Linked DNA regions of Cricetulus griseus. The protein of the gene in region 5 interacts with the protein of the main gene of each other region in a pairwise test. Links are inferred from orthologs where the notes say so. Each region holds a gene or a part of one and is shown on either strand. Other genes may lie near its edges.

Region 1 (4,621 bases), on a different chromosome or scaffold from region 5:
CTAACTGCTCTTCCAGAGGACCTGGGTTCAATTCCCAGCAACCACATGGTGGCTCACAACCATCTGTAATGAGATCTGGTGCCCTCTTCTGGCCTGCAGGGATAAATGCAGACAGAATACTGTATACATAATAAATAAATCTTAAGAACGAAAGAAAAAATGTTTTAGCAGTTTTTTGTTTTTTGTTTTTGTTTTGTTTTGTTTTGTTTTTTATTTCAATCCATGATCCTTGGCCTGTGGCTACATGTCTGTGAATGTGTGAAGGTGCAGAACCACTCCCTTGATGGTGAGGTTAAGAGAACATTAGGTAGGTACAGTTCAGGCCCTAGCACCTCATAAACCAGGCATGGTGGCGGATCAGAAGGATGACTCGCTCCTTCTACATACAGAGTATGAGGCCAGCCTCATCTTTTTTTGTTTGTTTTTGTTTTGTGTTTTATTTTTCAAGAAGGGCTTCTCTGTATAACAGCTCTAGCTATCCTGGAACTCTGTAGACCAGATTGTGTAGTGAGAACCTGTCTCAAATAAGACAAAATGAGCTGGAGAGAGGCTCGGGGGTTGAGACCACTTAGAGAGCAACAGGGTGTTGTCTGGCTTCCAAGGGCACCAAACGGATAAACTCATATGGACACACACAAAAAATAAGCAAATCTTAGAAATAAAAGAACAAAATTAATGACAAATGGCTGTAGTGATACGTTCCTTTCATTACAGCACTCAGGAAACAGAAACATGTGGATCTCTGTGGGTTTGTTCAAGGTCTACTTACTGAATTCTATGATAGCAAGGGCAACATAGGCCCTGTCAGCAAACAAAAAATTGCTACTTCATGGATCTGTGACCATAAATTCCTACCCTTACCACTAGGGGTTGTCTCTTAGCTGGCCTTGAACTTGCTGTGTAGCTAAGGATGCCTGACTTTCTGGCCCTCCAGCTTTCCTTTTGGTGAAAGGATTATAGGCCTGTTTTGCCACATTGTTTATATCATACTAAGGGTGCTTTATACCTGGTAAACTAGCATTCTACCAACTGAGCTACATTCCTAGTGCTTGAGAGAAGGATGGGAGGGGGAGGAGAGAGAAACGAGAGCACGAGCATGTCAGGATCTCCTTTTGTAGCTCAGTGTGGACTCATACTTGTGGCAACCCTGCCTTGGCCTCCATAGTACTATTAACAGAAGTGAGACAAACTCAGCATTAGTGCTCTTCTCTCCCTTTCTTCTGTGTTATATACTTGGGCATATTTCATGGCACTAGTATAGAAGTAGAGGACAATTTGTGGGTGTTCTCTCCCTCTATCTACCATATGGGCCCAGGAATCAAACTTAGGTGGTCAGGCTTGTTGGCAAGACCCGTGAGCCACAAAGGCATGTCTGTAGCCCCCTCCCCACCTTTAATTATTAAGTTGAAATTACAACCCATGCCTACTCCCAGGAGGAGTGGCTTTCCCAAGATACATAGCTGGTAAGCACTAGACAGTTTGCAGTGCACCGTTGAATCTCCTAAAGGACAAAACTAGGGAGAGGGGGATGGGATACAATTTGTTGTCACTCTGGTTCAGTACATAAAAACCCAACCTCATAGTTGAGATGTTCCATCCCCTAATCCTCTTGCAGGCCCTCTTCTGTCATTTACATTTCTGAGTTATGACTCATGAGAACAAAACTTCTTCTCTTTCTCTTACCCTTTTTTGGGTTTTAGTGACAGGGTTTCTCTGTGTAACTTTGTAGACCAGGCTGGCCTCGAACTCACAGATCTGTCTGCCTCCTAAGTGCTGGAATTAAAGGCGTCCACCACCACCACCACCTGACCCCAATAGAAGTCACAAGGATTTTCCTAGTTGCCTTCCTCTGTGGCTCTCTAAAAACTTGTCAGCTGGGCAGTGGTGGCGCACACCATTAATCCCAACACTCAGGAGGCAGAAGCAGACAGATCTGTGAGTTCAAGGCCAGCCTGATCGACACGGCAGGTGCCAGGACAGTCTCCAAAACTGCACAGAGAAACCCTGTCTCAAAAAATAAAAAACAACTTGTCACTCGGGAAATTGTTTGATGCCTCTTGGTTTCTCCATGACTCATTGAACCAACTATACCATTTCTCTGCTTCCCCTAGGAAGTAGAACGCAACCTCCAGGATGCCATGCAAGTGTGCCGAAACGTTCTCCTGGACCCTCAGTTGGTGCCTGGTGGTGGAGCCTCGGAGATGGCTGTGGCCCATGCCTTGACAGAAAAATCTAAGGCCATGACTGGTGTGGAACAATGGCCATATAGAGCTGTGGCCCAAGCTTTAGAGGTCATCCCTCGTACCTTGATCCAGAACTGTGGGGCGAGTACCATTCGTCTGCTTACCTCCCTTCGGGTGAGTTCTTTTCTATGTTCATGCTTTGCCAAGGTAAGGCAAGCTGTGTTTGGCATAAGGAGATGTTTTTGTTTTCTGCCACTCTGTGTATGCTTATAAGCACATGTGTTTGTACTCAACGTGGGTGTGGGTTGTGTGGGGGCCATCTTTGAGTCTTTGCCTTGTTTGCTGGTCTGAAACTGGCTTGCTTCATTGTACTTTCCTTGCATGTTTGTTCACCTGCAGGCCAAGCACACCCAGGAGAATTGTGAGACCTGGGGTGTGAATGGTGAGACTGGTACCTTGGTGGACATGAAAGAGCTGGGAATATGGGAGCCGTTGGCTGTGAAGCTACAAACATACAAAACAGCAGTGGAGGTAAGACACCCTAAGTGTGCGGATGCTGTCTGTCCTGACAACACGGCTACTGTGCTTTGTCTGAAAGGGAGAGGCCATTAAAGGCCCCAAAGATCTCCCAAGGAATTCCATTTCCCTACTTACCTTTAGTTTACCTAAAACAGTATACAAGGCACAAGCTACATCCCTTGCTTAGGGAGGACTGCTTTGTTCATTCAAGACTCTGAAAGGGAAGATTCCAGATAAAATGGTAATTCTGCGGGAGGAGCTACTGCTAGAAGAAAACAGTGTCTTTCCTTTCTCTGCTGACCTCTTTGGGCTGTTTTTCTCTTAGACTGCAGTTCTACTTCTGCGGATTGATGACATTGTCTCTGGCCACAAGAAGAAAGGTGATGACCAGAGCCGGCAAAGCAGTGCTCCAGATGGTGGCCAGGAGTGAGTGGTGAGCAAGGTGACTTCAACGTGCAGAACCAGCAGTCTCCCCTTTCCTGAGCCAGAGTTCCAGGAACACTGTGGACATCTTTGTTTGCAAAGGATCAAGTTGAGGGGCAGCCCCAGTCTGTCCCATCTCAGTTTGCAAAAAGCACTGACATGTATCTCTTCTCTATTGTAAGCTTTCCATTTAGTTTGCTTCCAATGATTAAATCTAAGTCATTTGAGACAGTTGTCATGTGTTTTTTTGTTTTTTTTTTTCAATCTTGAGGCACATCTCTACCTCCTAGCAATGCAAGAGGAGGCAGAAGAAAACCTTACTGGGAGCAAAGGAGACAAATTGGGATCACTTTTTTTCTTTTCTTTCTTTCTTTTTTTTTTTTTTTTTTTTTTTTTTTGTGGGGTGGGGAGATGTTGCTTGGGTTTTTTTGAGACAGGGTTTCTCTGTGTAACAGACCTGGGTGTCCTGGAACTCACGCTGTAAACCAGACTGGCCTTGAACTCACAAATCTGCCTACCTGTGTCTCTCAAGTGCTGGGATCAAAAACATGAGCCACCACTGCCTGGCTGAGTGTGTTTTCCTAAGCATATGTGCCTTGAGGCTTGCCTCCCAGTTCATTCCAAATCCTGTAAGGTTGATTATCCACACTAACCATCACAGCTACAGAGCAAGTATGAGACCAGCCTGTGCTGCACTTGTCTCTGAGACAAAATCTGCTTAGCCAGTAAGATTACCATAGTGGGTGGAAGGAGAGAAGTGGTTCCCAGAAGTCGTCCATTGACCTCCAGGTCCACCTGCATTCACAGACAGCACACTAATTTAAAAGTCCCAGCATTCAGGAAGGTGAGACAGAATGTTGTGGAATATTCCTTAACACTGTGAAGATGTATCACTGATTAGTTTAATGAAGAGCTGGATGGGCCAATAGCTAGGCAGGAAGAAATTGGTGGTGGGGTTAGTGCTTCTGGGGACAGAGGTCTCAGAAGAAGACTGGATCATGAGCCAAATGCAGAAAAAGCAATATGAGCAACATGGAGAAATGAGCCACACAACAGAATGTAGATTAAAATGAATGGGTTAATTTAAATTACAGGAGTGGGACAAGCCTAAAGTAAGGCCAAGCTTTCATAATAAGTTTCCTTGTCTTTATTTGGGAGCTAGTGGTACAGAGAAAGACTTGCTACCACAGGATTCTTTGGGGTCTAAGGCCAGTCTGGACTATAGAGTAATGCCCTGTCTCAGTGGGTAAGAGCTTGCAGCTCTCCCAGAGGAAGCAAGTTCAGTTCCTACATTGGGTGGCTCATAGCTAACTCCAGCTCCAGGAGACCCAAGTCCCTCTTATAATCTCCTCAGATACACCCACACATGTGGAATGCACACAAATAAAAATAAAATAGTCTTTAAAACAGATCCTGCCTGTGGTGGTGGTACTTGTGAGGCAGGGGTAGTCAGATCTCTGAGTTTGAGGCCACCCTGGTCTACAGAGGGAGTTGCA
Region 2 (4,878 bases), about 140 Mb from region 5:
TGAGTACAAACACTGAGATTAGCTGGCACTTTGTGATGGTTGCACTTAGGAAGTACAGGTGAGAGAGTTCCAGGCCAGCCTCAGCTACATAATGAGTTTGAGGCCAGCCTAGTTCCGTGAGATCCTGTGTGCTGGGGGTCAAGATTAAAGAGAATCAGTTGGGCCAGTGAGATGGCTCAGGAAGTAAAGGCTGCTTCACCAACTCTGATCACTTCAGTTCAATCCCCAAGGCCCACGTGGGAGAAAGAGATCAACACTCAAGTTGTTTGCTGACCTCTACATACATGCCACAAAGCACATGAGAGAGAGAGAAAGACAATGTAGTCTAAAAATTGTTTGTAAAAGGTCAGATATTGTGACTAACACCAGCACTTGGAAGGCAGGTACATTTCTCTAAGATGAGGCCACCCTGGCTGGGTGGTGGTGGCACACGCCTTTAATCCCAATACTTGGGAGGCAGAAGCAGGCAGATCTCTGAGTTTGAGGCCAACCTGGTTTACAAAGGTACATAGAGAAACCCTGTCTCAAAAAACAAACAAACAAAAGAAAGATGAAGCCACCTGGCCTACACCACAAATTCCAGGCCAACCAGGGTTACAAAGTGATATTCTGTCCCATGAAAATAAATAATAACTATTAAAGGTTGGGCCAGGCATCACGTTGCAGTCTTTAGTACTGGCACAGGCAGGTGGTTCTCTACAAGTTTGAGGCCAGCCTGATCTACTAGCGAGTTCCAGGACAGCCAGGGCAGACCTTGTCTTGAAATAATAAACAAAAGAGCTACATAGTGAAACCCTGTCTCAATATATATATATATATATATTTTTTTCCCAAAAAATACAAATTTTTGTTACCATTATCTTAAACTCAGCATTAGGAATTCAGTAACGTTATCACAAAAACCCTTTGGCTCTAGGGTAGCTTCCTGTGCTTGGTTTGTGCTCTTATTTTCACCCCAGGCATCTAGCCATCTCCCTTTGGAGCCATTAGCAGCACAGCTCCGCTGGCTGCTTCATGCCCCTCCCTCTCTCACAGGTACACAATAAAAGGCATCAGGAACCTGATATTCTATGAACTGCCAACCTACCCTCACTTCTACAGCGAGGTCTGCAATATGCTGAGTGCCGCGAGGAGAGGAGAGGAGGCCACATGGACCTGCACTGTGCTCTATTCCAAATACGATGCCCAGAGGCTTGCCTCTGTGGTCGGTGTCGAGCGGGCAGCACAGATGCTGCAGTCTCCAAAGAACGTCCACCTTTTCATCACCGGAGAGAGATGAGAAAGTGAGGAGCAGGACAGGCGGCGTCATTGGTCAATATGGTCGATAGGCCACGCAGACCTGATTCTCATCACTTCCCTAGGAGCAAACTCTGCACAGACACAGGCAGTCCCCTGGAAAGTACATTACAACCAGTGTCAGTGACCACAGCTGCCAAAGCCTAGAGCAATCTGCACGGGCTGTCACATTCAGAAATGAAGCCTGTGCTTGTCAAACCTGTAAGCTGTAAGTTCTCCAGTTACTCTTCATAACTTTTTACACGGGGAAGATTCTCTGGCTGGCCTATCCATTTTCTTAAAGCATTGGTTGTGTTGTTTGTGAGGTTTGCCAAGATAGTTGGAGACGACTTGGCACATGTCTTGTGGAACTTTGCTTTTGCAGCCAAACTAAAAAAAAAAAAAATTATAAACACTCTAACCTAAAAGAGTACATTCATTCACGGATCTTTTTAAATTCCTCACAGTGTTTTAATGGCTAACACATTTACAGTCAAGTTATAAAGCAACATTTAGTTGTACAGTTGATGCTTGTTCTCGGCACCACTGTCTCTTTAGCTGGTTTTTGAGTCGTGTAGCAGATGAAAGTGAAAAGAAAATCATGCTTTGAAACATTAAACACCATTATTTTAGACTTTGTTATAAAAACAAACACTATTGCAAACAGAACCATCAGGGACGACCATTGCTTCAGGTGACAGAGTTGTGAGACCGAGTCTGAGTTGCTGGGAAGTTGACTGCCGACCTCATGGGTGTGCTCGTGTGAGCGAGTCTTGTTCTCAGCATGGCTTCAAGTGAGCAGACTGTCTGACTCCGCTGCAGCCTTACCACTTGTCCTAGCCTTTGTTCTGGCCCCCTTCCAGATTGCTCAGGAAGACCTGACCTTGAAGTCTTAAATCTTCCTTCCTTGACCTCCCAAGTGCCACTACAAGTTTGGCTGTTTGTTGTCATCAAGAGTGTTGGTTGAGAGTTTTGTTTGTCTTGTGGTTTTGATTGATTGGTTGGTTGGTTGATTGATTTGCAGTGCTTGGGAATCAAACAAGTCCCAGCCTTTCGATTTTTGAGAAAGGATCTTGCTATGAAACTTAGGGCAGCCTTGGCTTTGACAAGTAGCCCAGGCTGGCCTCAACTCATAACCCTACTGCCTCTGCCTCTTTAGTGAGGATTAACAGACCCAGCAGCTCTGCAGCTGAGTGCTGGGTTAGCTGGCTGACCCTTCCTGCCAGCCCCAGGCTCTGCCATCAGAGCTTGGGAATGTTTGCTGAATGTGGGTATGTGGGTGCATATGTGAGCACACAAACACTGAATATTACTTCTTACCCACACGTTAGAAACTGAGTTTAAATTAGTATTTCTATTTACAGTGTATGCTGCAGGGTTCTTTCTGACCCCCTTTCTCAGTGATTCCCCCTTGTTCTTGGAGACAAGCCACAATTGGTATATATTCTCTTATACTCATACATAAAGTACATTTCTTAAAGCAGTAGTGTCTTGGCAGATAAAAGCACTTGGGCTTTAAGTGCCTGAGGACCAGAGAGAGTTTTTTAAAAAAAGATTTAAGTGATATAATTTGGGGCAGCTGTTATGCAAAAATAGGCATTTTGACTTCTCAGCATGGTAAGCAAAGCCAGTTATTCCAGATTGAATTCTAAATTCCAGGATATATAAATGATAGATAAAAGCCAACTAATCCCAAGCAAACACACACTTCTGGATGCACAGATCTGCCCTGTGGTTATTGGCATCTGTGTGCCACTGTTTGCCGCATTCACCATTTATTATGAGAAGGGAAATGAGTTTGTTGCTTTGTTGAAAACCATGATTCCTCAGGTCTGTTTCCACACAGTACAGTTCTTGTGAACAGCTCACAGGACGAATTGCAACTGCCTAAGAGTGCATGGCCTGCAGAGAGTTGGTGAGTTTAATGTAAGAGATGACATTACAGCAAGGGGGCGTGGCCCTCAGACAGCAGCCTCGTGATGCACACTAGAACCTACCGTGCACATCACGTGTTGTCTGCTCACTCTTGCCCATGATATCCTCAAATTTGTGATCCTCCTGCCTCAGCCTCCTGGCTAGAGATGTCTCCTGCTCCTAGTAGGGAGGTCTTATAGTTCTTAGGCTGGCTTCTTTGCAGCCCAGAGTCTGGAGTGATCCCAGGCCCAGGAAGGCAGGGACTTACCCAGAAAGTGAGACTTTTAGACTCCACACAGCGGTCACAGCTACTGTGGCACTTTTCTTTTTGAGGGAAAAGGCTTTGAATCGTGACCGCTGCTCACAGCTGGCTGCACTATGTGCAGCATTGGAAACAAGAACAAGCTAATCACAGAGTGCCTGCAGCAGAGAATCAGCCCTCTGCCAGCTTCCAGAGGGCTGGTAATTGAGTGCAGATGGCCCAGGCAGGATGGGGGGTGCATGTCGCTGGTGACTCATACATACCTCAGAGGACCAAGGTGGTTCCAGAAGCTTTGATCCCTGATTGTGCCCTTGTGGAGTGAGGAGACAGGATGCTGAGAGGTGTCGCCTATGCTTGCTGACTGCCTTCTGCTGGGCCTTCCTGGGATCTGTCTTCAGACAGCCCAAGTTTAGGTTTGATGTGCCCAGGGTCTCAAGATGGCAAAAGACCTAGGGAAAGACAGCAGGACTGGGACGTTCTTTACAGCCATCCCAAGAGTCTGGATGTGTGAGCTGTAGATGAGTGTGAGGTGCTGGGCGTTTCCGGAAAGAATACTTTGGAAGCCATGCTTTTCAGGGTACATCCCCCAGGGTCCAAGGCCTCTAGCCTTCCTGCCCCGCCCCCTCCTTTGTGTTTAATGTCCCCTATGCCTCTGGCCACACTGCTGCCATTCCTATGAGACTTAGGACCATGTAAGAGAACAGAACTCAGTCTCAGAAGTGGATGGCGCCCTGTACTGTGGAGGCTCTGAATGCCACAAGCTCAACCTGGCTGTCCCCTAGCAACCTGCTAGCCTGCTCTCCCAGAGGCCCACAGTTCAGGGGTGCCCTGACAGCCTTTGCGCATTTGGCTATGACCATTCGGGCACATGGCCTCAGCCCACATGTGGCAGGAAGGCTGTCTGCTGATGTCTGACTGGGGAGCTGTTCACGAGCAGCCCATCTGCTTTCCCAGCTGAGCAAGGCCAACTAGAGCATCCAGCCATCTCCATCCTCACTGAACTCTTCCTCTCCCCAGCGGGTCATGCAGGGTGAGTTTTCCTGGCCTCACAGCTGGTCTGTCTGTCCACAGGTCAGTCTTCTTGGCCTTTGTTCAAGGTCAGCTTGAAGGCTGGGGATGCTCATTTGTCCGAGTCTCCTGGTATTGGGATTGGATAGCGCCTGGCACACTGTGTGCAAGTGTGTGTCCCCCCCCCCCCATTTATTTCTGGGTTTTTGTTGGGTTGATTTTTTTTTTTCTCTAGTGCTGGTATTAAACCCAAGGTCTTGCAGTACTATATAAGCTCCCTTCGCTGAGCTGAAGCCCAGCTCTGCTTGGCATCATGGAGCAGGGAATGATCTGCCCTGTCCTTAGAGAGGAACAGAGGGTGAACGAGGAAGGCGCTCTCTCTCCCTCATCAGAACCCATCTTGAATGGCTGACATAGTA
Region 3 (5,384 bases), on a different chromosome or scaffold from region 5:
TGGTGATTCTAGCCCTGGGTTTTGCCAGAGTGAGACAGAAAGCAACCTGGAACCCTGGGGTAAGATTGAAGAGAAAACCTTTAGACAGGGCCAATGAGATGATTCAGCAGGTAAGGATGCTTGCTGTTTAAGCCCGACAATCTGAGTTTGATCTCTGGAGCCCATGCAAAGGTGAGAAAATAGATTCTAGAAAGCTGTCCTCTTACTCCCACCTGCATGCTGTGACATGCCTCCCTCCCCCAATAAAAAGTAATTAAAAAAAGAAAAAAACAGAGAAAAATCTATCTTCAGGGTAAATGTAGACAAATGGAACTCTCATTGAAGAAGAGGTTAAGAGGAGCTATCTAGAGAAATACAGTACAGAGCAGATAGTGTGTCTCACCTTGTCCCACAAAGACTGTAGTTCTTCTTGTCCACCTAAGTCCCAGAACATGAGACGAGCCTTCCCCACGTCCACAGTGCCAACTGGGGAGAGGATAGAATGAGCTAGCTCCTGACCTTACTCTTTACAAAGTCCCAGCTCTTCCTGGAATGAGGAAAACCATTCTGGTACCAATCCCAGCAGGCATGCACAGAGAGGGATCTGGCCCCTGGCCAGCTGGGCTACGTACGGGCTTGCATCTCTAAGGGACCCAAGCTCATATCCCCCTTACTGTTTAGGCCCACGGTAGTGGTGATTTTGGATAGACTCATCCCTTTGTAGTTCTTGTTAAACCGTGTTTTTGATTGTTCCAAGAAGGTCTGAGGAAAGAAAGAAAGGTGGTTAGGTAGTGGCAGCTAAAGCAGTTTCCTGGTGTCTTTTCTAAATATCCCTCCACATCCATATGCTTTGGGCAAATTCAGGCTTTCACACCCACATGGTTTGGGCAACTTCAGGCCTTCACACCCATACACACATGCACACGAACCTCTGCCTGTTGAATGCTCTTCGGGAGGCTGGTGGCAACTAACCTGTAGTCTTGGGTAGGGATTAGATTTGCAAAGAACATAAGGCAGGGAAAGGGAATTGGTGAGAGAACAGGCACCTACTGTCTTCCCGGCATTGTCCAGGCCTAGGATCAGGATGCAGTATTCATCCTTCTGGAACATGTACTTGTACAGCCCCGAAAGCAGCGTGTACATCCTGCCCTGGCACCCTGAGAAATGTCAAGGTGTGTACCAGGGCTATCGGCCTCCTGTCCGCTTCATCAGTGGTCCGTCGGTCCTGCTAGTTTTCAAATGTGGAGCCTCGTGGCTCGCGACTCCTTGCCCCCCTCTCCCCAGCCCCCGATTCCGGACCCTGCCTCCACCACCGACCACCCGCTAAACCTGGGCCACTACTCCCACTGCGGGTCATCTTTGTGAATACACCATCAGTCCTGAAAAACCCATGGCGGCCTACCCTGCTCCGCCCTCCTAAGGCTTCTTTTCCGGACCCTCAACTCAGCACTGGGAACTTCGACTGTCGTAGCTACCAGAGAGTCAGCTTCTGAGTGGGCCGCCTTTGGATCCCCCCCCGCTGCCGGGCCCACGGAGCCAAAGAACCAGCTGCCGAAGCCGCTTCCCTGCCCCCTACCCCAGGATTCTGGAACCCCGGCCCCTCAGTCCGGCGGAGACCCACCTGCACCTGCTCAGATCTCGGAGCCGCAGACGCCGTCGTCGCGTCGCAAACCCCACCGACCTCGCGTTGACCCCGCGCGGTGCCTGTCGGGACACCGACCGGCCGACTGAGTACGAGAGGGCGGAGCCGCATCCCGACGGCCCCCGCGCGCCCCATCCCGGAGGCTCCCGAACGCGGGCACTTCCGGCAGCATCAGCTCTCGGGCGGAAGTGCCCGCGGCGGGCGGAAGGCTAGCGCGAGGGCTCTGCTGGCGAGGCCGGAAGCCCTTGTAGGCTGCGAGCACCGGCGGGAGGCGGGGCTGCGGACCGCAGAGGACGCGGTGGGATACTTTGCGGTTCCCTTGGCAGCGCCGAGGTCCTCCTCAGCCTCTCCAGCGGCCGGGGAGGGGGCGGCGTTGTCCTGAGCTCTGCCGACTGCTCTTCCCTCAGGTCTCGTCTGCTTTAGCGGTTCCGAAACTAGCCTGCGCGGTGTAGCGATGGACGAGGACAACCTGGAGACGGCCCTGCAGACCTACCGGGCCCAGCTCGGGCAGGTAGAGCTGGCTCTTGGTGCTGGCCTGGACGCTTCCGAGCTTGCGGACCTGCGCCAGCTGCAGGGCGATCTGAAGGAACTGATAGAGCTCACCGAGGCCAGCCTGTTGTCGGTCAGGAAGAGCAAGCTGCTGGCTACAGTGGACCTGGAGCACCAGGCAGAGGAGGACGCTGAGTACTTGGCTTTCCAGAAGGCTGTGGCGGAGGAAGGGGAGGCACCCGTCGCCCCCGTGGATGACTCGGAGACTGTCCCTGGGAGCGTGGTGCGGCCTGGACCCACCTCCCCTGCACAGGAGGAAGACGAGGAGGATCCAGATCAGGAGGAGCTGAGCGGTGCTAAAGTGAATGCCCCTTACCACAGCGCTTGGGGCACGCTAGAGTATCACAACGCAATGGTTGTGGGCACTGAAGAGGCAGAGGATGGTTCGGCATGCGTTCGCGTACTCTACCTGTACCCTACCCACAAGTCCCTGAAGCCCTGCCCGTTCTTCCTGGAGGGAAAATGCCGCTTCAAGGAGAACTGCAGGTAAAGCCCTCTGCTACTAGCAATAAGGGTCACTCGAGCAGGACCACTGCTGTGGCCTGCCGCCTTCACAACTTGTTCTCCACCCCGCAGAATTGATAAAAGAGAAGGGGGAGCTTCAGGTGGCTGACAGGCTTTAACAGGAACATTCCCTGTTAAGTAAACACATAAGTAAACACATTATATTCATTCTCTCTCTCTCTCTCTCTCTCTCTCTCTCTCTCTCTCTCTCTCTCTCTCTCTCTCTCTCTCTCTCCACCTCCCACCCTCCCTCCCTCTTTTTTTGGATACAGAGTTTCACTGTGTAGCCCTGTCTGTCCTGGAGCTCGCTCTGTAGATCAGTCTGGCCTTGAACTCAGAGATCTACCTGCTCTGCCTCCCAGGTGCTTGGGACTAAAGGCGTGTGTCACCACTTCTAGCTAAGATTTATTTTTGTGTGTATTTGTGTGGGTATGTGAACATGAGTACAGGTGCCAGAAGGTGTTGCATGTTCTACAGCTGGAGTTCCAGGTGCTTATGAGCCACCCAACATAGATCCTGGAAAACAAACTCAGGTCCTCTGCAAGAGCAGTATGCTCTCAACCACCAAGCCATTTCTCTAGCTCTATATACTTACTTTTCTTTTTAATTGTGTGTATGTGTGTGTGTTTGTGAATACATGTGTACTTGAGTACAGGTGCATGAGGAGGCTAAAAGAAGGTGTTGGATCTCCTGAAGCAGGAGCTTCAGGACTACTGGTAGTGAACTACTTGGGTCTTCCTCAAAAACATTACACATACTCTTAACCACTGAGCCATCTCTCCAACCTCCAGAGACCACCTATATTCCTTGGTTTGTGGTTCTCTTACATCACTTTAAGCTCTTACTTCCATGGTTACATCTGTACTCTGCACATTTTATTTCTTTACTTTTTCTTTAACATGGGATCTCATGTAGCTTTAAGCTGGCCTTGAAATCCATATATAGCCAAGGATGACTTTAAATTCTTCATCTTTCTGCTTCTACCTCCCTAGGGCCAGGATTACAAGCATGTGCTACCTAGCTTGGCTCTGCACATCTTTTTTAGATCCTAGTAGACTTGACATGTTCCTTGCTCACTCTCTTTCCTTCTCATGCCTATAGGTGCATAAATGATCAGTGTGCTCAGTGGGTTTTCTCCAAGAATACACATGTTGCTATAACCAGTGGCTGCTTTATCTGCCATAGTCTTTTTGTGGGAAGCCCTGTGATGAGAGATTTAATACCTCTAAGTACTTTCTCTGACTGACATATGCTCACTTCTCTGTGCACGAACCTATGGGTAGGCCCTGAACTCATCCCATTTTATATAATTTTTGTTTTATTTTATTTTGTATGTATATATGCATGTGCCATGGTGCTCATGTGTAGGTCAAAAGACAGCTTTTGAGTGTAGGCTCCTTCAACCATGTGGGCCCTGGGGATTGAATTCAGGTCATCAAGCTTGGCAGAAGGTACCTTTACTTGTCAAACCATTTGTCAGTCCCCACCCCACTTTATAGATGGAGAGACAGACACCAAAGCACTAAGTGATCGGTACAATGTTGCTGGCCGTGAGACCACTTCATCACAAGGAGCTGCTTGTGGTATCAATTTTAGGGCAGAACTAAAAGACAATAAAACATCTAACACCATCTTTACAACCATCCAGGATGAATGAGTTGTTTTCTTGAATTTGCTTTAGATTTTTTTTGTTTTGTTTTGTTTTGTTTTTGTTTTTCGAGACAGGGTTTCTCTATGTAGCTTTGGAGCCTATCCTGGCACTTGCTCTAGAGACCAGGCTGACCTCGAGCTCACAGAGATCCACCTGCCTCTGCCTCCTGAGTGCTGGGATTAAAGGCGTGCACCACCAATGCCCAGCTTGCTTTAGATTCTTAAAAATAAATTTAACTAACTCCACCTGCATTACCATAACTTTGGTGTATGTCTTTCCAGTGTATAATCTTCCCTGTAGACACTTGTATTTGGGCAACAGCATCTCAATAGTTAGTTGATTATTTTCCCACATTTGCTAATACTAATCTCCATCTTCCTCCTCTCTTCTACAAAACAAGTGAGAAGTGTCCCTAGCAAGTGGGAATAAAATGCAGACGTTGGACCTACCCTGAAGTGGCACAGGTGGACTTATTTACTATGTGTTGTAAAATAAATTCAGATATAGGAACTATAGTATAGAGAACTGTTATAAAGTGAACTGTAGCTGTCAAACTCAGATCACAGCTGTTATTTGCCAGCCACCCCAGATTCCCTAACAAGCATCAACTCAGGTAGATTTTTTTTTTTTTTTTGCCTTTTATTTAAGCCCCAAACAATCTCTCTCCAACAGACAAAACAACTTTTTTTGTGTGTGGGGGGGTAGGGGGTGGGAGTTGTTGGTGTTTGGCTTTTTGTTGTTTTGTTTTTGTTTTTTGAGCCAGAGTTTCTCTGTAGCCCTGATGTCCAGGAACTCACTTTGTAGACCTGGCCTCAAACTCAGAGATCATTTCTGCCTCCCAATGCTGGGATTCAAAACTTTTTATAACAAGTGCTTCTTGTGTTTCTGTAGCTTATGTCTCAAGTGTCACCGTGATGTAGAAATCATAGTTCAATACTGTCCATTTTCTAACCCTGATTGTATCTGAATCTAACCATGTACACACTTCTCTAGGTCTTTCCTGCCCTTACTCCGTCCTTATTGAAGAATCAGCCCCCTTGACTCATCAGTCAGCATATA
Region 4 (4,878 bases), on a different chromosome or scaffold from region 5:
AGTGGCCAGTGATTAGCTTCCTCGCTGGCTGATTTTGCAGCCTGCTCTCTTCTATTCCTGGGTCTCAGTCAACACAGTCTCCAGTTTTGCTGAGTTCCTGACTCCCCTGGGTAAAACTGATAGTCTCTAGTGCAAATATCAAATCTAAGTTTAGCATATACATTATGATTATTCTTACTTTTGGCAGACATGAGCCACACAAAAAAAAATAATAATTCAAGACTGGGTAGTAGACATCACAGTTTGTGCTTAACAAACAGGTTTTTAAAATGAATTTTTGCAACAGTACCTGTAGTGTCACAGAACCTGAGAAGCCCAAGCAAAAATATCAAAAGCTCACTGTTCTCCCTGGCCACCTCCTGTGCTGGGAGCAGGGGGAAAGATAAGAAAGGATAATGAAGGAAGCAAGCCCTGGGATGCCCCACATCTGGCCTATAATCACAGTTACCCCCTGACCACCTTTCAAGGTCTTGTTTCTGTTTCTCAGTCTAGAGAGTGTTATCAGAAGATCGGAGAGATAAACCCCAAGCTTCAGACACAGGTGAAAGGTGAGACTGTCCCTGCTGCTACAATCCCTCTAAATCCAGTTTTCCTTTGCACTCCACTGGGGTGCCCTCCCTACTTTCTCTGCCCTGGTCAAGACCACAGCCTTGCCTTTCCTGCACTGCCCAGCCCTCCCTATGCTCATCCTCCATCTGTTTCCATATTTAGACTGCTCCATGTCTTTTCTTGCATGCCATCCTCCCATAGACTTGCAGACTGCCCCAAATTTCCAGGATGTCTTAAGACGTGGTTTAGATTTTACTTTGCTCCTAAACGACTTCTTCCTGAAGAAGAGTCTGAATTATTTTCTTGCTTTATACTTCCCATCCTTGCAAGGAAGAAAGGAAGGAATGTGTAAGGGCAGGGAGATGTGGAAGGTGGGTGGCTTTTGTATGGTTCTTTCCATTGTTAGGCTGTTGCTTCATTTCGCTTTTTCCTGCTTGTTTTGCTAGAATCCCTAAATCAAGTAACTCTTCAAGAAAAGGCAGATCTACAAGAGAAGGAAGCTCGAGAGTCCCTGGATTCAGGAAAGAACACAGCAATGACAACTAAAAATCTCCTGGAGACCCTCTCCAAGCCTGACCAGACACCCTTGTTCTATGCAGGAGGCATTGAGATCCTGACAGAAATGATGACGGACTGTAAGTCAGACATGTGTGTGGTCTCATGAGCATTGTCCGTGTGAAGTCACGGGTTCAGGAATCTGGCTCCATGGGACAAAGATCCCCTCCCTTCTATAGATATCAAATGAAAATCTACACTAATATAGGTGCCCAAGAGGGTATGGAAGAAATATACTTCCCCTGTACCCCATCCTCTTCAGAGAATGCATTAACTCATGCGATGAACACCACACACATGGCATAAGATAGCACACATGGTGTACAACAGCTCCATGTGTGCTTATATTACATGTACCACACACACACACACACACACACACACACACACACACACACACACACACACACACGGCATGTGTTTATTTACATTTATGCAAATATATACATTAAGTAAATCCGTGTACTTACTCTATAAACTTCCCTCACATGTGTTCCACACATCTTGCTTCCATCCCCACATCCACTCTAACATCCTAGACCTTGCACACACCCTACACCACGTAGAAACAGAAGAAATGTCTATGATAAACTATAGGGATCACCCCAGCTGCACTTTACAGTGTCTTGGAACATGAAAATAGCTTCGGAGGAAATATCTGTCACTCTGTTATCGGTTCCTGTAAACACTGATGGCAGAACTTAAAACAACTTTGGTTGCTCAGTGACAGGATGTCATTTGTACAAATGGATGGAGGCTCTGGTCCCCCATTAGTATGGAACAGAGGTAGCCCAGATGGCCCCGTTGGCCGCTTTCTTAGAAAATGTAAGTTCTTCTCCAGAGCCCAATAATAGCTTCAATATAAACATGGAGAATCAGATGGCTCTCCAATACTTTCCAGGGATCAAACAGCTCCTGTAAGCTCTCGAAAGCTTGCAGAGGAATGAACTGAGATACTGACATTTTCTAAGCAGTCTCTCTGATGGTGACATATCCAGTGGCTGGTAGCAATTGCATTTCTCAGAGTGTGATGATCTAGCTAGATTTTTGATGATCTTGCCCTTTCATACTAGGATCTGGTGATCAGCTAGATGCCAACCTGTGGGTTAGGATCCTGACTCAGTTCTTGTGTTTTTTTTTTTTGTTTTGTTTTGTTTTTTTTTTTCAGGCACAGAACGGACCTTGTTCAGAACATATGGTGGATTCAGCACCATCAGTGACCACGAGGTCATAAGAAAGTAAGGATATTTGGAAAGAGCCAGATGTCTACAAGAAAAGACAGAGAGTTGTGTGTGTGTGAAAGCAGTTACTGGCCACAGAGGGAAGGCCTTTGGACTCTGTGTCCTTGCTCCTCAGTCATCAGGGTAACCCCTGAAAGAGCGTATGTGAACCCCCTTGAGATCAGAGCCTCTGGCCTTTTGCATCATGTTGCAGCTGACAGAGTGAGCCTGTCCCACAGGCCATCTCCATATGTCCCAGACAGACAAACACCACTCCTACTGGTTCCCCACCAGCATTTTTAAATTTTAGTTTGTTCTTTTTCTCATTTTACTGGCCATTTAAAAAAGTAGAAGCAACTGGGTCCTGGCTGGCTCCATTTAGAATTTTATCTAAAACAAGGCCTACATGGAAGGGGGTGGTGTGCTGTGTTTATTTCATATTGTGCTTGGATAATCCAGGAGGTTTGGGATCCTGACATGGGTTGGATGTTTGCATGTCCGCTCATCACGATGGCCCTTGGCTGTCCACCCTCTTCTGTGTACCCACCTCTGTGTTTTTACTTTGCATTTGATCTGGAATTTTGGAATCAGTGATGGGTAGCTCCTTAGTGGTGGTTACCTATGGATAAGACATATCTTCCTTCCTTCCTTCCTTTCTCTCTTTCCTTCTTTCCTTTTCTTTCTTTTCTTTCTTTTGAGAGATCTCACTGTGTATCCCTGACTGGCCACTCTCTATGTAGACCACCCTGGCTTTGAACTCACAGAGACCCACCTGCCTCTGCCTAATGGGTGGTGGAATTAAAGGTGTGTACCACCGTGTCCAGTTTGGATATGCATTTTAAAATTTCTCTTAACTCTTCATTTGCTGAGTCTGGGGGTGGAACCCAGTGCAAAGAAAACAAGATTGATCCCCAGATTCTGCACTGCTCAACCTGTCTTCTCCAGGTGCCTCTTCTCAGCAGGGATGGATGCAGTTGAAGAGGTTCTCTGTGTGGCTGTTTTGAAGCTCTGGCAAGCAGTGTGTAGTGACAATGGTAAGCCTGGTTCTTCACTGTCCATTGTCAGTTGTGTTCCCCAGAAGAAAGAGCTGCATGGCTCAGCATGGTAGTTCTCCTGAGTGGTCAGGCATGGAAGGACTGGTGTCTGAATTCCATGCCTTTTCCTCCCCAAAAGTATGTGGAAAAAAAAAAAAAAAAAAAAAAAAAAAAAAAAAAAAAAAAAAAAAAAAAGCAACTTCAAGTTCTATATTGAATTCATTCCCCAGCCCAAACCTTATCCTCCTCTTCCTGTTCCCCCTCCTCCTATTTCTTCTCCTCTTCCTATTCATCTTTCTCCTTCTTCTCATTGTCCTCCCTTGCCTCAGGACACGGGGGTAGAGAGTGGGCAAGATCACTGTCAGCATAATGAGTGCTCCCCCCACATACCCATGCCTCTCCCTTCCTCTCCCTTCTCTGCAGACTCATGACTTCTGCTCATGTCATGAGCAATGGAGACAGTTTCCTTTTCTGTCTGTTTGAAAATACTTTGGTTTTGCTGACCATTGCACCCCTGGCAGATGACTAGCAGCCAGCATCTTTGGACACTGATTAGCGTCTGTTACTGAAATAGAAAAGTGCCAGAGGGATTTTGTTTTGTCAATTCTTACCTTTCTTCATACAGCATCCTCCAGAGATCATTAAGTTCTTGCACAATCTTTCTTAGTCACCTTTATGGCTTCTGTGTGTATCAAGATTTTAAGTTTTCCCTGTCATCTCAAAGAAATGTATTTCACAGGAATATGTTTGCTCTTGGGACAGGAAACACTAGAAATGAGGACAATCACAGGGTGGGGCATGCAAGGAGTATGAGGAAGTCATCTCCTTTCCTTTAGTAGGCTGAAGGACTGAGAACTTGAAGTAGGCTGTAGGAAACAGGCCTATCAGGAAGCTCAGTTACTGGAAGCGAGCAATCGGTACAGCCAAGCATCTCAGTTTGTCTCAGAAACCAGATTAACAACAACAGAAAAACAAAAATAGGTGTGGTGGCATGCCAGTAATGTGGAGACAGGTAGATCCCCAGGGCTTGAAGGACAGCCACCCTGGTCTATTTGATGATTTCCAGGTCAGTAAGTCCCTAATTAAAAAAAAAAGGAGGAGGAGGAGGAGGAGGAGGAGGAGGAGGAAGACAAGGGGAAGGAGAAGAAAAGTAGAGCCTTGAATGATATCTGAGGATGACATGTGAGGTGTCCTCTGGCTTCCATCCATATGCACACACACATACATACACACACACACACGTACATACACACACACACACACACATACACACACACACACACACACACACACACACACACACACACACACGTACATACACACACAAACATCCTTGCTCAGGGCTGTGTCTGCCAAGATTCCTAAAGGAAGGTAACAAAGGAAGAACTTGGTGGCTGTGTTTTCTCTATGAATCAAGCATAATAACCCAGATATTTTTGTTTCTGTGAGCCTTGGAATTATGCTGTTTTAATATCTGAAAAATATTGTCACCCACATATTCTGTGTTTCCGGCTCATGAA
Region 5 (5,650 bases):
GAAACCCCAAAGCCCACCCCTAACGATACTCTTCCTCCAGCAAGGCCTCATCTCCTAATCCCTCTCAAGCAGTGCCACTCTCTAATGACCAAGCATTCAAATATATGAGCCTACAGGGTCCATTCTTACTCAAGCCACTATATAATGTATCAGTCATTTTCATCAGGTACAACAAATACATCATAGTAAGAAACATCTTAATAATACATGAAGCTTAAGGAAAGAAGGCATCATGAGAACTCTGTACAATCTGTTCAAGTTTCTGTAAGCTTAAAATTGCTTCCAAAAGCCTAGAGCATAGCATGGTGGTGCATTCCTGGACACTTACCTCCTGGAAGGCTGAGGCAGAAGGAAAGTGTTTAAGTCCAGCCTGGACTACACAGTGAGAGCTTGCGTTAAAATAAAAAGTCCGGTGCAAAGAGAAGCCCCCCCCCCCCTTTTTTTGATGAGGGGTGGAATCTGCACTTTACTGTGGGTATAAGGATAAGGATTTAGAATGTAGTTAGGAATCATGCTGATTCAGTGAAATGGAAGTAGAAGGTTCTCCTCTTAGATCCATGGCCTCAGTAGCTCTGGGAAGCTGGGCAGGTTTCTAGTACCATGCATGACGCTAGAACAGTGGGAGATCCAATGAGGAAAACTCCAGGCATGGAAGGAAGTCAGCTCATAATAGAGGCCACATGTGTTATAGGCAGTAGAGCTGGGACCCATAGGGAGCCCAGAAAATTTCACCCATTGAATGTAGAGCTTCGAGATTTTGTGTCTGCTGTCCCGAATTTCAGTGTTGCTTTGGCATGATTTTCCCTTGCTATCTTATTCTCTTTGGAACACTACTGTATACTGGAAGTATATAATTTGATTTCTCATTTTACAGGGGCTTGTGATTAAGAAGTTTGTTTCACTTTTTTGGGGGTGGTGGTGGTGGGAACTGTGTATTTGCTATGTATCCCAGGCTGTCCTCAAATTTATGATCATTCTTCAAAGGTTTAGGATTACAGAGGTGCACCACCATAACCATATTTTTAATTATACTTTATGTCCATTAAAATCTGATTCAACTCTGAGTAATGTAAAGCAATAAATAAATAAAATTAAAAATTCACTTTAAGGTCGAATGTCACAAGCCACTTCAGAGAACTAGTCATTGGTTACATAAAAAATGAAACTGTTTTTTAATATTATACTCTATTTACTCCAAATAATTTAACTAAGTTCTCTCATCCATTTTCCAAACTTCACACCCTTTTGGCACTTACTAGTAAGTTCCTTTCACTATCTTTGTCCATCATGACTTTGGTGGTCATCATGACTTTATTCTCTCTCTCTCTCTCTCTCTCTCTGTGTGTGTGTGTGTGTGGGTGTGGGTGTGGGTGTGTGTGTGTGCGTGCGCAGAAATTACTATTATTGATAACATTAGTGCTAATATTATTATTCCAGCATCCAAGAGTACAAAAGAGTACTTGGCACATAGTAAATACTCAGAGTACTAAGTAATGTAAATTAAAGTGACTTTAAAGCTCAATACTAAAGTGCCAGTGTTAAGTGGCCTGTAGTTCCAGTAACTAGGTAACTTGGCTAAGGTGGGAGGCAGGTGTTTCTCTCTCTCTCTCTCTCTCTCTCTCTCTCTCTCTCTCTCTCTCTCTCTCTCTCTCTCTCTCTCTCTCTCTCTCTCTCGGGAAATACTTGGTTCATTACCAGTTATATCAGTTCAGATAAAATTCCACGTTACCCCTAGAGTCCACAATAAACCATATCCTCTGCGTTCAGGTTTTTCTTTTAAATTCCGAGATTGAGCATTTTGAGCATGCACATAGTCTAGCATACACTCTCTGTAGTCCTGAAGTGAAAACAGAAACTGCCAAGAGCTTTAAAGCTTGTCTGAGGCGTTCTTTGGCCCGCTTGGAGGTCTCCCTCGGGCTCCCGTCGCAGCACCCTTCCTCGCGTCCCGCAAACCACATCCACTGAAGGGAACCGCAGTTTCTGCCCAGTGAAGATCGCCCGCGCACCCCACGTTTCCCCTCCTCTCGCCGCACAAGAGTTCGTCTGGACCGTAGTCCTCTACTCCCATGGAACGACCTGGGGCCACACTATTCCCCAGCTCCCCTCAGCACTCCCCGCGGCCCCAGCTCGCCGGAAGCCCCGCCCCAAGATCGCCAGCGGGCTCGCGCATGCCCGGTGCGCGCCGCGGCCGCAGCCGCAGCCTCGTCCCCGTGGGCCCGGCGGCGCGCCCGGCCTTGTCCGCCCCGCCCCGCCCCCTTCGGTCACTCAGGGGCGCGCGCGTAGCGGGCGCGCGGCGATTGGCTCCCTCGGTGGCAGCGCCCCAGGCCGGAGAAACTGCGTGAGCGGAGTGGGCGCCGAGGGGTCCCGCGGCTCCTCAGGTACCGGCGTGGACCCGGAGGGTTGGGGGAGGGGAGGGAAGCTCAGGGTGGGCTGTAGCCGGCTCGGGACTTCCGGCCGCGGTCCCCGGAGAGGCAGGAGGGCTGCGCGGGGTTGGCCCGGAGCGTGCGGGCCACCCTCGAGGGCCCGCGTCGCGGTGTTCTCAGGTGACACAGTGCTCCTTCTCCTCGGGTTTCAGCACAGCCTTAAAAGTTAAGAGGCTGAACATGGATTCAAAAGTGTGGGTTTTTATCCCTGCTAAATCTTGGCAAGAGTTCGGGTTTCAGTCCCCGCTGGAGGACTGAAGCGATTTATAGTTCTCACCCTTGAAAGTGCGAGCAAAACTCCAGTGTTGCTCAACACGCGCGGAGCCGGCTGTAGTAGGATGCGAATGGAAGCAAACTCTGGTTTCAAGAGCCGGCTTTTCTAACTGGAGGATGATACCACCCAATGGTATTGGTGAAGTATTTGAAGCTCTATGGAAGGACCTGGGTAAACTTCAAATATCGCAGGATAGACGAGGGTGATAAAAAAAGAAAACACCTTTTCTATAAGAACAGGTCTTTGGGTGGACTCCTTCGAGCATTTTTATGTGAGTCAGTTCCCAATGGTCCTGGACAGAGCTAGGGAAGGATTGCTTTAACCTACGAGTTTCACAAGTAACTCGCTTTGCAAAGTGTGTTCTGTCTGCAAAGGATCTCACCCAAAACAACAGTTGCATAGTAATCATTCCATAGGCTGGCATCCTGTGCGTATTTGCCAGAAATTGCCTCCATCAGATTGTTCTATAGGCATGTCTGTGGACATTTTCTTGATTAATTTGATTATTGATTGGTTTGGGAGGGCCCAGATCACTTTGGGTGGTATGGCCTTTGGGCAGATGGTCCTCAGTTGTATAAGAAAGGAAGCAATGCAAACCATGGAGAGCAAGCCAGTAAGCAGGATTACTCCCTGGTCTGTGCTTCAGTTCCTGCTTCCAGGTTCCAGTCTTGAGTTCCTTTGGGAGGTTCCTTGGGTGGTGGAAAGCCCCCCACCCACTTTCAGAAACAAAACTATATTACATCCTATGTTAGTATGCCAGTAAAATTAGGCTTGCTTTTTAAAAGTAAGATAATATGAATTGTTTCATTAGATAAAAGTAAGGATGGCAAAAAAATATGAATAGGAGATAGACACATTTTTTTCTTCAAAGACAGAGTATGAAATAAAATCTTTGTGTGATAACTTTAAAATGTTTAAGTCATGTGTAAAACTCATTGTATTTTCATGCTGTATACTCTTTTATCTAGTACCAAGATCAAAAAAAGAACATGATAAGGGACAGAGGAAATCGATCATCGGGTTAAGAGCGCAGGCCCTGGCTTGATTCCCAGCATCTACATGGTGCACCAAGCATCTATAACTGTAGTCCCAAGAAATCTGATGCCTTCTGCCCTCTTAGCATGCTTGTATGCACTGTGTATGCTTGCCGTGCCAAGACATACATGTAGTCAAAATACCAACATACATAAAATAGAAGGTTACATTTTTTTTTTAAAACAGCATAATAGTATTTACATCCCAGAAAAACCCACTGGTGCCCTCTTTCTAATAGTAATCATTGGATTTGAGTTTACTTACATAGGAATCCAAGGGACTGAAACCATTACAGCCTAATGGCCCCCTGGTTAATTATTTTGGCTGAGTACTTGGACTGGATTTGTGCTGTGGGCTGTAGTTTGCCAACCCCTGCTGAATTAAAAAATGACTGCTCAGTACCAGTACAGCTTTTCCCTGTCTATTATCTCAGTTAGCATATACAGCGGACACCTTATGTTTTTAGGTGGTGAATTTAATACATATTAGAAGTATGTTGAGGCAACATTTAGGGATAGTCAAGCAGTGTGATAATGAAAACTTCTTTGATTGTTAAGCAAACACAGATTTAAGATAGGCCATGCCTTCTGACACAATACATTGAGTTTATATACACACTTTTAAAATAAATTCTAATGGGATATTTGTTTGTTAGCCAACAATAAGTAACAAATGCACTACTTACTAAATTCAGAAAAAAATTAGTGAAAGAAATGGCTCTTTGTGAGCATTTAAAGAACAGGACTACATTTTAGTTCTCTCTCTCTCTCTTTAAAAAAAAAAATTTAAACAGGGCCTCCTGTCTTCTAGGCAGGCCTCAAACTAGCTAAGTAGTTGAGGATGTCCTTAGGTTTTGAGTCTGATGTTTCTGACTCTGGAGAGTTGTATGCTGGTGTTACAGATGTGCACTACATGCCTGGAGTGTTTTGTTGTTGTTGCTCTTGCTGGCCCTGAACTCTTGGCTTCAAACCATCTTCCTGCCTTAGCCTACCAAGTAGCTGAGACTACAGCTATGGGCCGCTTCACTTAACTCGTTTACTTTAATATGTTTGGGAATAATTAATTTTATGTCCTGAGATACTAAATTTAATCATAGCTATATACCCCATTTTTTTCTTGGGTTATGGTTTTTGTTATTGTTTTGTTTTTTTAGCTCTAATCTGGCAACATAAATTACTACTTTAAAGGGGTGGCTCATTTGTTGCTTCACTCAAATGGGTGACTAATGGGACAAATTTGCCATAGAACTGTTTTTTGGTAGTTAATTAGAGCAACCCTGGTTCTGATTTTGCTAAAATTGAAAGTATTCTTTTGAATTTTTTCTATTTTGAATATATGCAGGTAGGTGGTATATTCTTGTAAGTTTAGTTTTGCATTAGATGACTTGTATATACACATTGAGATTGATTTCATTATGCTTGGATTTATAAATTTTACAGGGTTCATTTCCTTGCAGTCTATAACTTGAATGTTATTGTTTCTTTCTGAAACATGACAATATCTCTTCTTTGATTTCTTTTTTTGACAGTCTCTATTTAGTCCTTGACTGTCTTGCAAGTTGCTCTGTAGATCAGGCTGGCCTTGAACTCAGAGACCTCCTCCTGCCTGTGCTTTCCAAGTGCTGGGATCAAAGGCATGTACCATTACACAGGGTTTCTTTGTAGTTTTATCTTAAGGATTTTGCTAATGAATTTTTAAAAATAAGAAATTGATAGTACTTAAAAAAACTTTATTGTGAAATATAATGTATATAGAGATAAATAATATAAAACATATGGACATTTTTGAGCAAATGAATAATCATTAAAACTTGTTACTAATTTGTGTGTATGGCCATTTACAAAGCATGTCTGTACATTAATATAGATTCATCAGTGGATGGATTGTTTTATATGTGTCTTACTAATGCTATTGCTCA
Region 6 (4,878 bases), on a different chromosome or scaffold from region 5:
GGCTTTGATTTTGCAAGACAGGGTTTCTCTGTGTAGCTCTGGCTGTCCTGGAACTCACTCTGTAGACCAGGCTGGTCTCAAACTCACAGAGATCCAAATGTCTCTGCCTCCCTAGTGCTGAGGTCAAAGGCATGCGCCACCACCATCCAGATAGTTCTAAGTCTTTATATGCCATGGTATCAGACCATCAAAGATAAAATCATCAATACTGTTATCTTTACTTTGGGGGGGGTGGTATTTATAGCAAGATCTTGTCTTAAAAAAAAATAAGGTAGAGTTGCCCCAAGTTGAAAGTCAGTCTTATTTTGAGGCAGGTCTCATGTAGCCGAGACTGGCCTCATACTCACTATGAAGCCAAGGACAACCTTGGACTTCTGATCCACTGCCGCCTTCTGGGTGCTGAGATTGCAGATTGTGTTACCGCTCCTGGCTTACATGGTGTTGGGATTAGATCCCAGACTTCCTGTGGATTAGACTAGCACTGTATCCATGCCTAACCCATGGTGTCCTCAGTGCATCGGAGTTGTTTCAGCTTGCTTTGTTCACTTCCGTAGTCTCTGGAGCACAGTTCTCATTTCTCGCTTGGTTTTTAGTTCACCAAGACTTGTTGGTGTTCTACAGCCTCTGGGCACATTTACACTTGTGCGTGCGTGCGAGTGTTCGTATGTGTACACCAGAGGTGAATTTTGAGACAAAGGTTTTCAGTGAACCTAGAGCTTGTGGATTTGGTTAGTCAAATACCGTGGTACATTCCTTTAATCCTAGCACTTGGGGGGTGGGCACTGAGGCAGATCAATCTCTGAGTTTGAAGCTAGCCTGGTCTACATAGGACCAGAAAAGCCAGTACTACACAGTGAGACTCTGTCACACTTGCACTGTTTAAAAACTATTGTCACTGACAGTGGTGAAATTAACAAAAGTTTGAAACTATGTGTCTTTTTCAGTCTCCCAGAGTATTTGGAAGGCATGATAATATCCCTCACAATTGATCTTTGCTATTTTGGCTTCTCCTACAGAATTCTAGATTGAGCAACTGTGGTTTCCTGTTTTCTTGGGCGTTGATGGGCACTGTAACATTCCGAATATGTGGTGCTTTTGTTCCCCAGAACTGGTCTGTTCCTCAAGAACCTTGCTTTAGGTGCAGGTGCAAAGGGAATTCCTGGCCACAGATGTCCTGTAAGATCTGCTCAGAGGAGCTAAGACTGGGCTCAAACCAACACTGAGCACCTTGTCACCAAGTAGCTAGCTGCTTGAAGTCTATGGGCTCAGGACTGACTTTCAACTTGTGACAACTGTGCCTTGCTTTTCCAGACAGGATCTTACTGTGTGGCCCTCCCTGGCTTGGTGGCCAGGCCATTTGCGCTAGGATTGAAGGCTTTTGTTTTTTTAGGTTTGGGTTTTTTTTTTCATTGGTTTGGTTTTTCTTGGAACTAGGGAATTAACCTAGAGCCCCAAGCATGTCTATATAAATGCTTCTCTACCAATGAACTGCATCCTAGCCCTCAATTAGCTGCAACTGTGGAAGGATCATTGAAATTCCTGTGGACCTCCAAGAAGTGACATTCAAGATATTTGAACTCAACTTTAACTATCCCTTTTTTTCTTCCATCCAGTAAAGATAGCAGTATTGATGATTTTATATCTGATGGTCTGAAATCGTGGCACATAAACACAGAACTACACTGGATGCATAAAAGAGCCACACAGCCACTACCATGCTGTCCTACATTCCAAACTGAAGCAGACATGTGACCTTTGTTTGCTTGCTTTTTAGATAGGTCTTGCTGTATATCCTGGCTGGCTGGTCTGGAACTCATTGTGTAGGCCAGGCTAGCCTTGAAATTGTGTTAAGCCTCTTCCAGCCTATGCCTCCTGCATCCTGGGACCACATCGCGTGTGGCCCATAACTCTCTTTCCTTATTGATCTTTTCTGGAGGTATCTTTATGCAGCCACCTCCTCTAGGGGTCATCACCTCTAACCTGGGATCAGCGTTGCTTTGTTTTCAGTTTTTCCTGTTTCTGTAAATATATCTAGTATGTTAAATACATTCTTTTGTGTTCTTCCGAGGGTTCCTTTTGCTCAGTGTCACATTTGTAAGTTATCTGCCATGCCATGTTGTGGCAGCTGACTGACTGGTTTATTCATTTTTCTATTTGTGACTGTAGTATAGCTTACTCACCCCTCCAAATGTTGCCAGGCTTTGGGATGCTCACAATGCTCAGTTATTACAGACAATACTGCCTTGAGCATTCTTGTACCTGTCCTCTCCTGGTCCATGCCTAAACATGTCAGTCATAGAAGAAGCATATTTCAGTCGCTGAGTCTGTCATCATAGTTTTCAGTGGTGCCTTTAAATCCATACATCTTAATAGAAATTTGCAGTGTTTGCGCTCATCTGAAAAGGTTTGTGTCTCCTATAGAGAAATGCAAGGATGGCAGCAGAAAAGCGCTATTCTAACACTCTAGAAGCTCTAGGACTGTCTGAGGAGTTTGTTTCAGAGAAAGGCCAAGGTGGAAAGGCGCCTGAGAGCTTCACCAGAGAAGAGCTGAGAAGCCGCACATCGGATAAAGAAAGGTAGCAGCTGCAGGGAAGCATGCTCTGCGCTTTCCTGTTGTTTTAAAACCATTTACTTGAGGGAGTGCATGTGAACCTGTGAAATATTCTAGTGTTTCCCCATGTTTGACACACTATAAATGTTACACAGTGATAAAACATTTGCCGGGCGGTGGTGGCGCACGCCTTTAATCCCAACACTTGGGAGGCAGAGGCAGGCGGATCTCTGTGAGTTCGAGACCAGCCTGGTCTACAAGAGCTAGTTCCAGGACAGCCTCCAAAGCCACAGAGAAACCCTGTCTTGAAAAACCAAAAAAAAAAAAAAAAAAAAAAAAAAAAAGAAAAAAAAAAAAGAACAAAAAACATTTTGTTCTTACATCAAGCTTATATTTCTGATATATATATATATATATATATGTATGTATACACATATGTGTGTGTATATATGTATGTACTATGTATATGGTTATAGTTGGGGGAGCTGCTTTAGATTGAAATATGAGGACTCACCAGTCAGTGGCACAGACCTTTAATCTCAGCACTGGGGAGGCAGAGGCAGGTGGATCTCTGTGAGTTTGAGGCCAGCCTGGTCTACAAAGCCAATTCCAGGTCAGCCAGGGCTACACAAAGAAAGCCTGTCTCCAAAACCCAAAGAAAGAAAGAAATAGGAGTCAAGTTTCAAGATAAATTGGTTGTCAGGGAATACTTAATTCCCCACGGGTGCTTCCATAGTTCTCCTAGTAGCTGTCGGAGCGTGTGGCCTGGAGGAGCACCACCTACATGGTGGCATGGTCACACAGAGCCATGTGCATGTACATTGACAGATTAATAACATTTCTTCCTTTAGCTCTTATGAAGAAGAAGGAGAGAATGAGGAAGAAAACTATTTTATTGATGCCAACAGCCAGGATTCTTGCAAGGAAAACACTGAAGAGGTTAAAGAAGGTAGAGAAGAAAATTCTGAAGAATGAACCTGAATTGCAAGGTTTCCTCTCACTGAGCCTCTCTGTGTGCAGCCTCAGGACTGCAGCCCTGCACTGTGGTGACCAGAGCATGTGTGGGGACAACTCTCACACATGCAGGGCTGCTGGACCGGAACATCATGTTGGAAAAGGCTGAATCCACATAATGGGTGATCTGATTGCTAAAGTACAGCTTTACCCTATGTGTGCTGTTTATGATAATGATTATTTTGTATTTTCAAAGTGTTTTGGGGGTTGGAGAACCACAGCTGTCATAAATGGATTAGTTCTGATAATGTACACTTATATTTGGTAGGGAAAAGAGTTTGGTATGGAGAGAACTATTAGCTTTTGAAGATCTATTTTTAATTTAATAAGTATTTTCAACTTTTCTCTGAAACATTTTTAAAATAAGTAATATACAGAAAAAATAGGTACTTGGAAATTTACAATTTTTCCACTTAAAATTTACTGCTAAATTATCTATAGTATGGCTACTTTTTTTTTTAACCTTTTTTTTTTTTTTTTTTTTTTTTTTTTTGGTGGAGATTAAATCCAGGGCTCACACATACTTGCATGAATTCTACCATTGCGCTATATCCCTAATCCCCCAAATTATTTTTGATAGCTAAAGTGTTAAAATACTTTACACTACTCTAAAAATCCTACGTATTATTGCATCTAGAGTAATTATGGCATTTGTGCATGGTAATCTTTTTGCTTGTTTGGTTGTTTTTGTTTTTTTTTGTTTGTTTGTTTTTGTTTTATTTTGTTTTGTTTTTTTGAGGCAAGGTTTCTCTGTGTAGACCTGGCTGTCCTGGAACTCACCACCGGTCCACCTGCTTCTCTCTCCTGAGAGCTGGGATTAAAGATGTGCACCACCACTACTCATTTTGTGTGGTAATCTTAATTAAAAGATACAAGTCCTTGTTCTAAACATGCTGAAATTGTGATCCTAACTTGCCAAAGGAAAATCCTAAAAGTAATTCAAGTTTAATCTTTATTGCTAACTTACTTGTACCTTCCTTTGTATGCTGTGTTACAAACTTACTGTCTCTGTTAAGATTTAATTTGATCTTGAGTCATCTTTCACTCTTTAAGCACATTTTTTTTTTTGAAAATTCAAACTAATCTTTAATTGTGCTACAGGGTAAGACATCGCCTGTCTAACAATCGGCTTTACAAAGAACTAATAACAAAGGCGGGTGACAGCGTCTCCCAGCCACTTCTCTGTGCTTAGCAAGGTGTGCACTCAGCTGGGGTTCAGGTTAAATTACTTGCCACTCTTATTAGATTGCTATGTCCTTTAGAGGTGGCATCATTTGAAAAGTGTCACATTTGTAATGCCATTAGCTGTTAAT

Evidence for each region.
Region 1: the proteins of Mipol1 (region 5) and Cct3 interact in binary tests that used the Homo sapiens proteins (3 or more experiments, as listed by UniProt). The two-hybrid records come from large-scale screens. The link is inferred for Cricetulus griseus from reciprocal best matches to the Homo sapiens genes MIPOL1 and CCT3.
Region 2: the proteins of Mipol1 (region 5) and Utp25 interact in binary tests that used the Homo sapiens proteins (3 or more experiments, as listed by UniProt). The link is inferred for Cricetulus griseus from reciprocal best matches to the Homo sapiens genes MIPOL1 and UTP25.
Region 3: the proteins of Mipol1 (region 5) and Zgpat interact in binary tests that used the Homo sapiens proteins (3 or more experiments, as listed by UniProt). The two-hybrid records come from large-scale screens. The link is inferred for Cricetulus griseus from reciprocal best matches to the Homo sapiens genes MIPOL1 and ZGPAT.
Region 4: the proteins of Mipol1 (region 5) and Ttc12 interact in binary tests that used the Homo sapiens proteins (3 or more experiments, as listed by UniProt). The two-hybrid records come from large-scale screens. The link is inferred for Cricetulus griseus from reciprocal best matches to the Homo sapiens genes MIPOL1 and TTC12.
Region 6: the proteins of Mipol1 (region 5) and Fam161a interact in binary tests that used the Homo sapiens proteins (3 or more experiments, as listed by UniProt). The two-hybrid records come from large-scale screens. The link is inferred for Cricetulus griseus from reciprocal best matches to the Homo sapiens genes MIPOL1 and FAM161A.

What each region holds. Positions count from the first base shown.
Region 1 is NW_023276806.1:66,172,720-66,177,340, reverse strand, and holds the end of Cct3 (T-complex protein 1 subunit gamma), read left to right. Parts: intron 1-2,111; coding exon 2,112-2,357; intron 2,358-2,582; coding exon 2,583-2,714; intron 2,715-3,027; coding exon 3,028-3,132; 3' UTR 3,133-3,352; downstream 3,353-4,621. UniProt on the Homo sapiens protein: Component of the chaperonin-containing T-complex (TRiC), a molecular chaperone complex that assists the folding of actin, tubulin and other proteins upon ATP hydrolysis.
Region 2 is NC_048598.1:2,116,837-2,121,714, forward strand, and holds part of Utp25 (digestive organ expansion factor homolog), read left to right. Parts: intron 1-1,035; coding exon 1,036-1,279; 3' UTR 1,280-4,878. UniProt on the Homo sapiens protein: Component of the ribosomal small subunit processome for the biogenesis of ribosomes, functions in pre-ribosomal RNA (pre-rRNA) processing. Essential for embryonic development in part through the regulation of p53 pathway.
Region 3 is NC_048599.1:539,618-545,001, reverse strand, and holds the start of Zgpat (zinc finger CCCH-type with G patch domain-containing protein), read left to right. Parts: upstream 1-1,799; 5' UTR 1,800-2,075; coding exon 2,076-2,656; intron 2,657-5,384. Other genes in the region: Arfrp1 (ADP-ribosylation factor-related protein 1), read right to left, coding at 383-465, 654-741, 1,030-1,122. UniProt on the Homo sapiens protein: Transcription repressor that specifically binds the 5'-GGAG[GA]A[GA]A-3' consensus sequence. Represses transcription by recruiting the chromatin multiprotein complex NuRD to target promoters.
Region 4 is NC_048597.1:161,237,937-161,242,814, reverse strand, and holds part of Ttc12 (tetratricopeptide repeat protein 12), read left to right. Parts: intron 1-303; coding exon of another isoform or gene 304-361; intron 362-467; coding exon of another isoform or gene 468-487; coding exon 488-548; intron 549-995; coding exon 996-1,184; intron 1,185-2,272; coding exon 2,273-2,342; intron 2,343-3,269; coding exon 3,270-3,358; intron 3,359-4,878. UniProt on the Homo sapiens protein: Cytoplasmic protein that plays a role in the proper assembly of dynein arm complexes in motile cilia in both respiratory cells and sperm flagella.
Region 5 is NC_048598.1:145,200,248-145,205,897, reverse strand, and holds the start of Mipol1 (mirror-image polydactyly gene 1 protein), read left to right. Parts: upstream 1-2,209; 5' UTR 2,210-2,378; intron 2,379-5,650.
Region 6 is NW_023276807.1:83,737,111-83,741,988, reverse strand, and holds part of Fam161a (protein FAM161A), read left to right. Parts: intron 1-2,421; coding exon 2,422-2,576; intron 2,577-3,402; coding exon 3,403-3,526; 3' UTR 3,527-4,878. UniProt on the Homo sapiens protein: Involved in ciliogenesis.